2 linked regions of the Schizosaccharomyces pombe genome follow. Changing the gene in region 1 together with any one later gene gives a genetic interaction. Each region holds a gene or a part of one and is shown on either strand. Other genes may lie near its edges.

Region 1 (3,758 bases):
TTTTTTTATAACTTGAACAGACAGTTCAAGCAACGAATTACCTCTTGTACTTCGTTTTTGGTAGTTGGTAGGTTTTTGCCTACTGAAAGGTGACGGCCTATGAAAACTTTTAGCACGATACATTTCGTTAACTTAGCTATCGTATTTGTATTTATTACAGTATTTCAATAATATACAAAAAAACAAATAATTTTTTGGAGGTAAAATATTAGTAAAATTGAATCACTAAACAATTCGACTCCAAGCGGCTGACAAACATTCAACCAATAGTTTAGAAGCTCAGTAAAAGGAAACGAAGACATAAGAACATTAGACGTCCTTTTTCCATCGGAGAGCATTTTAAAGAAAGAAATGATATTTAGAAAAAAAAAGCAAATGATTTAGGAAATGAAATAATAGAGGTCTAAAAATTGTAATTGAATGTCAGTGTTTTATCTGTCAAAATATTTCAAACCTAATAGTCACGTTGTAATAAACGACACGATCTCGTAATCAGGTTTTTATCGAACACGAGTAAAAGCGGTATATTTTGAGTAACGGTAATAAAAACTTTTTAAGTAAAAAGAAACAAAGTCTATTCTCTTATGCAGGCTTGAAAAAATTTTGCAAATTAAACATAAATAATAACCAACACAAAGGGTTTAAGACTTTGACAGACTATCGCGCATGCTTTGAGAACTAGCACTAACGGGATTATGAGTCATAGGGAGGATGGTAGCAGGATCTTTCTGACGTTGCTGTTGAGATTTAGCAACGGCATAAACAACACCAGAAATAAAGCCCAACAAAATAGCGGTAACAGATCCAAAAGTGATGGGTGCATCAAAAAACACTAAACCGGCAATAGCCAAGGGAAGTTTGTTAAGAGCACCAACCATACTATAAGTTGTCGAAGAAGTTACGCGTACACACCAGGCAGAGGTGTAAGAAATTCCTACTGAAGAAACACCACTAATAGCCATAGCCATTAGAACACCAAATTTGGCATCAGGAGGGAAATTTTGAGCAATGTTTTCAGCACTCCAGTCCTCAGTAAAGAGCGTGCAGATAACCAAAACAGGGATACTGAGTAAGTTGTTATAAAACATGGTATCAAAGTCACGAAAGTTGGTAAGTTTGATACGCTTACGCATCGCGAGAACAAAAGCAGCATTTGTGAGACAGTTAAGCACCATCCATAAATAGCCAGAATTTAAGGTTTGGGAAGCAAATGAGGAAGACTGGATGTCTGCCCAAGCAGCGACAATAGAAGAAAGAACCATTAATCCAAAAGAAAAAAGAGTTAAAGCAGTAACATGCCCGCCAAACCAAAGGACCTCACCATAAGCAATGATAATAATAGTTAAATTCTTAAATATAGTGTACACTGGAACAGAAAGAAATTGCAAAGCCTTCGATGCAGTATAAATCATAGCTACCAATAAAAAGGAAATAGGAAACCAAAATTTGGCCTCACGAAAATCAAAATCCCTATAATTAATAACTTTCAAACGTTTTAGTATCCCAATGGCTGCTACACAAACAGTGGATTGTACAGTCAAAAGGAGAAAGTTCATATTGTAACCAGGACTCGAAAGAACATATTTATTGGTCAAAGTCATCAATATGGAAGCCATGCAATATGACACCACTGGAAGAATCGGTGATTTACTAATTCGGTTTAGCATATGATTATCCATTGTTGTTGGAATTTCGTGATGGCTCCGGTGAAGTTGTCTACATACCTACCCACCATGTTTGGAAGGAGCGCGTACGTAACAGGCCTTACCCTTCCTCAAAGACACAGTCCATTGGTAACAAGTTTTGGCATACAGATTGATTAACATCTCTGTTGATCAAACTTAAATAACTTGGTCTTCTCATATAAAATATAATTATTTAAATACTTTTTTGTTCATCTATAAAAGAGTATTTTCGCCTGCAAGCCACACTTAATGTTACACCAATTCATATGTTTTACAACAAAGTATGAGCATTTACTGTAAAAGCTGTGTTTGAATTGTTGTGAAATTCCTTAGTGTATGAAGATCGTTTTCCAGTCGAAGTCGATCATATATAAAGTCGCGATGCAGATACATATACAATTTAAGCATTTGTTGGAACTAGAGAGGCAAGGGAATTGACTCATATTATAATAGATGATTGGAGTATAACCGTATAGACAATGACCTTTCTACATGGATCTTTCGTTTCGTTCAATTGGACTATAAATTTATAAACGAATGCAATGTGGGCTACTTACAAACGCTTTTTCGTAGATAATAGTCTAGTCTTTAAACCATAATAGCTATTAAGACGTTATTTCAAAAGTAAAAGTGCAGAAAGAAGTGTTGACGCAGAGAAGACGATTGATGAAGTACAACTATAAAATAATATACATGCGTTTAGGTACTCGCATGTTTTAATCATGGAATTGGCTAAAAAAATCTATGAGTTGTTGGGAAGTGTTCAGTAATTCTCAATGCCACTTTCAATAATCAAAAATCAACTGAACTTGCAAATGCAAAACATGTAGTATAAGTATGCGAAAATACCCCACCATTAGAAAGCTACGCATCTTAAACTCCTATGGGCGTTTCCAATTGCAGATATGTACGGTATATTAGGGCACGCTTAACTTTGCTAAAAATTAATTAACGAAGTGCAACCACAGATGTATTGCGTAAAGCACTACCGATGTTTAGCCATCCGTCTTAAACGAGCATTGTGCCCATATCAATTGTAAGAAGCTCTTCTCTGTATATAAGCAGTCGACCTCTTGCAAACCGCAGTTTTTAGTAGGAATTGGTATTACACTCATTGTAAACAACATTCTGCATATTTCACCTTTGTGGAAATCATTTATCAAAATACCCACATACAAGGCACACATTGTAAACATTGTGGTTGCAAAGGATTTAAGTACATTTCAATCAGATTTTGGACCTTCCTATTTAATTTATAAATAATTTATATATAATCGCATATATTATATTAAAACTCTAATTATAAACAGCTTGCTTTGATTAGACGTTGCGATGTCGCGCAGAAATTCAATTGCGGTTGAGCAGGCAATCAATCCAAACATGCTTCGCGCTGCCAATCGAAGCTCTGAAGCCTTACTCGATAATGAAAAGTTTGGAGGTGTGCAACCCTACAGTACAGAGAGCGGTATGCTCTTTCATGCCGGAAAGCTCGTAATCATCATGTCTGGCTTACCGGCTAGAGGCAAGTCTAATATTGCTGTGTCGATAGACAGATATCTGAGGTGGTTGGGATTTAATTGTAGATTTTACAGTCTTGCGAAATACATAGACGAACGCACTAGGGAAATGACTAGTTCGCCTGTGAAATCTGGTAAGCTGAAACTATAGTCGACGTTTTGTACCTTTGCTAACTTATAACAGCTGCATCAGAAAATCATGTTTTTAGTAGGAATGACACAATTGAGAGATGTTTAGCAGACTTAGAGATTTTTTTACTTAAAGAGAAAGGTCAGGTTGCTATTTACGATGCAACAAATGGTACTAGACGTACACGTCGTATTTTATATGATAGGTTCAAGAATTGCGGGTTTAAAATCTTGTTTATTGAAAGTCTGTGCAATAAAGAGGATGTCATCAATGCGAATATTCAAGAAGCAATTCATGTTTCTGAGGAATTTCGAAATTGGGATTTGGAGATGGCCGAAAAAGAATATTGTCGTCGAATTGATATTCTCAAATGCCATTATGAAACCATTGATGAAAAGGACTATTCCTTTGTTAAAATGATTAATT
Region 2 (3,758 bases), on another chromosome or scaffold:
AGCAGCTCCAAGGCCACTTACAGGCTGATCGTCTATGCCGTAGTATCCATCATTAAACTTAGGGTCAGAATATATACTCTGGCGTTGCGCTTCAGACCAGCTAATGCACCACGCGGAATGACGAAGAGAGGTAGAAATGGGAACAATTGATCGCACAAATTCCTTATCAAATGCCCACTCCAAAACCAGCATACCACCCATGGAGCCACCTACTGCCATAGCAATTTGCTTTACACCCAATCTTTGTAAAATAAGTTTATGGATGTTTACATCATCACGTATGGTTGCTAAAGGAAATTCTGGCCCATAAACACTATGAGTCTCAGCGTTCCATGTAACAGGAGAGGCGCTTCCGTATGGGCTACCAAGAGAATTAAGGCATACGATAAAGAAATGTGATGGATCAAACGCACGACCAGGACCGAGTAAAGGACCCCACCAATCTCCAGCATCAGCAGAACCACTTAAAGCATGACAAAGAAGAAGACAATTGTTTCCTTCTTTATTCAAAGTACCCCAAGTCTTGAAGGCAACGGGAACATCGTAAAGGATGTCGCCACACTCCAACGTAAATTTGGGAACAATTGCAATTTTTTGATCTGAAATAAGCTGAACAAATTTATTTTCTTGCTGAGACGGATGACAGGAGTCAGTAAAGACAATTGATTCAATCGGAGATTGAGATTCCATTTTTATCAAACGATTGATAGTCAAATTTTGAAAAAATGAAAGAAACTAAATTTTTTGATAGAACTGAGTTCTCAAAGATGTAACTAACAAAACTCAATGGTAGGAGTTTTAAATAACCAAAAAAAAATTTTTTGACAAAAGCAGATTAGTGTAAGGTTTAACACAAAGAATGAATTACTTGCTTTTGTGTTGAGTAAGCAAATACAATTAGCTTCTCTTCTTTTAAGCGTGAAAAACAAAAAATCGAAAAACCAGAAAGTTTTTACGAAAAAAAACCAAAACTAACGGTATTGCGCAGCAATAAAAATTTTAGGTTTTTTAGTACCAGGAACGGTAAGCAACTATATTTGCTAATTTGTTAAATTCCAAAGTTACCCAAAAACACTTGAATACCAAGATTTTTTTTCCTATTCGGTTATGGTGAAAGGAGAAGTGGTAAGTTTATAAACTTTTATCTCAACCTAATTTAACGGTCTGCTTAGTATTTTGTTAGACAACATTAATTGAACGGTAATCAATAACCGAGTTTGGTATACGGGTACTTCATAATATGCTATTCAAACAACGAGACTTTTTTGTTATCTTATATAAATATAACAGTTTTAACCGTAATTTCAGTAAAATCATGTATGAAAAGGATGAATTTATTAAAAAAATTACAAAGGCTAATGTTTTATAAAAAGTCATTTCATGGATCAGGACTCTGCGAGATCAACTTTCGAAGATAAACGAATCGATAAGGAAAAGGTGTAATAATGTTAAATAAACAGGCGCTTGGTCTAAATAATGATTACTTGCTAGTTTCCTTAAATTTACAATTAATTGACTTGAAGCCAATTTTAAACAAGTGTTTTCAACGTTAAGTGTTTTAGTTTATCAATTTACAAATGAAGGAATACTCAAGACATATTTTATGACCCAGCCAAACCTGTAGTTCATCCTATTCAAAAAGGTTAAGGCAATTGAACAACTTGCGCCCTTAATACTAAGTAGCCGTAAGATATATCATACGATGTTCCATGAAAAAATATTTATATCCACGCAGAATTACAGTCATGTAAGTTTTTTAGGAAAGAGTAAAGGCACCTATTCTTTTAATACAATGTCTCCCAAATAGTCAAAATAATTATATAATTATAACAAGTATGCTTGACTTTTGTGATCTATCAGAAGTTGAGCAACAATGAGAGTCTATTGTAATCGATATGTCTATGCTTAATTGCTTGTAAAAGTAGACATTTTAAGTTGTTGACTGCTACTCACCAACTCGTACTAAAAAATTCGTCTGCTATGACTAAACGATTACTGTTGTCCAGTCCAGTCGGCAGTTAGCCAGAGCCAAACACAAATAATCCCACCGCATGCTTTGTAACTGCAAAAGCTCGGATTTCATTAAAAAATAGCTTAGAGTATAAACGGAGTGGAGTAATTTTTTTTTTGAATGAGTTATTTCTTCCAATATCATAAATCTTAACCCTTCTGCTTTTTGCATAGTTACGACATGGTAGTATACATCGTTTTATACACCTGCCTTGCGGGATTTATCCTTTTGTTCTTGGTAAGCAATATTAGCTAGCATGCTTCTCATTCATGTCCACCCGTCGGTAAATAAGGTCGTTGCGGGCAGAACCTGTTTAGTTTATCTGTACTTTCGATTTTTTGATGTGACATTAGACCAAATTTTTCCCCGAATATTCATTAACCCAAATATAGGTTTACTATTATTTAACTCATTCTCATTGCCCGAGGAAGCAACTGGAAGGAGAGGAAACATGTGTATTCATTGAGAACGGTCAAAAAAAAAGTTTGACTCTTGAGAAGTGGAGCACTTCTGATAATATACAAATAACGGTCATTGTTCCCGCGTATAATGAGTCTAAACGAATCGGAAACATGCTCCAAGAGACAGTCGATCACTTGGAAAAATATTATCGTTCCTCTTCTTCAGCAGGACAACGTCGGTGGGAGATCCTTATAGTTGACGACGAGAGTAAGGATACGACGGTGAATGCAGTGCTAGAGTTTTCTAACAAACTGGATTTGCGGGATCATTTACGAGTTTGCTCACTCAAACGGAATCGTGGTAAAGGCGGTGCGGTAACTTGGGGCATGTTGTACGCTAGAGGTCAATATGCAATTTTTGCTGATGCAGATGGTGCTTCTCAATTTTCTGATTTGGAGCTCCTTTTTAAAAATATGCCACCCGGACCAAGGGGTGGTGTCGTTGTTGGCTCGCGTGCTCATATGGTGAACACGGCTGCAGTAGTAAAGCGCTCATTTATTAGGAACTTTTTGATGCACTGTTTTCACAAACTTTTACAAATCTTAGGGATCAGGGAGATTGGCGATACGCAATGTGGCTTCAAGCTTTTTTCTCGTGAGGCATATCAAAGTATTTTCCCTCGTATGCATGTTGAAGGATGGATTTTTGATATTGAAGTATTAACACTTGCTCGTTTTTTCGGTTTACCTATCATTGAAGTTCCCATTACTTGGCATGAAGTTGGCGGTAGTAAAATGACTCTCTTGAAAGACAGTATTTCAATGGCAATCGATTTGTTGGTAATTCGGTTGAACTATACATTTGGTATATGGGAAAGGCCCTCGGCTAAGCGTATTACTTAATTGGACGTATTGTTGTGGATGTTATTGTTCATTATACATTTTTCCTGAGATATAATTAAATTATGAGAGATACATAAGAATTTTTAGGCGGTTCGTTTCCTATTACTCTTTGTTCCTTTTTTATTGATTGTTTTATCTCCAAGCGGAATATTCTATCTTTGAGTAAGCGATTTTCTACTTGCTCGATTTTTTTTCAATGTTGTAAATACTTCTCATTTCCCCATATATGTACTTATGACGTTCTTTTTATGAAAAATTACTTGACTAATAAATTTACTAATTAAATTCTTTTTAATATTCACAGTTCGTGGTAGTAAGGAACATAATAGATGTATTGTTATTATTACGCAGCTGTTAGTTTTCAACCGAGTCTCTAGCCAAAACTCAACTTTTTTGTATATATGCAACCACAAGAACATATTTACCTAGGTTTGGTTTTCAAC

What was found.
Region 2: mutations in vrg4 (region 1) and alg5 are lethal when combined (synthetic lethality), as found in Schizosaccharomyces pombe (one study listed by BioGRID).

The regions. Positions count from the first base shown.
Region 1 is NC_003424.3:4,688,091-4,691,848, reverse strand, and holds vrg4 (GDP-mannose transporter Vrg4), read right to left. Parts: upstream 1,709-3,758; 5' UTR 1,680-1,708; coding exon 642-1,679; 3' UTR 21-641; downstream 1-20. Other genes in the region: SPOM_SPAC144.17C (6-phosphofructo-2-kinase), read left to right, coding at 3,018-3,336, 3,387-3,758. UniProt on the Schizosaccharomyces pombe protein: Involved in the import of GDP-mannose from the cytoplasm into the Golgi lumen.
Region 2 is NC_003423.3:4,090,137-4,093,894, forward strand, and holds alg5 (dolichyl-phosphate beta-glucosyltransferase Alg5), read left to right. Parts: upstream 1-2,020; 5' UTR 2,021-2,191; coding exon 2,192-2,248; exon of another isoform or gene 2,249-2,403; coding exon 2,404-3,315; 3' UTR 3,316-3,616; downstream 3,617-3,758. Other genes in the region: homoserine O-acetyltransferase Met6, read right to left, coding at 1-690.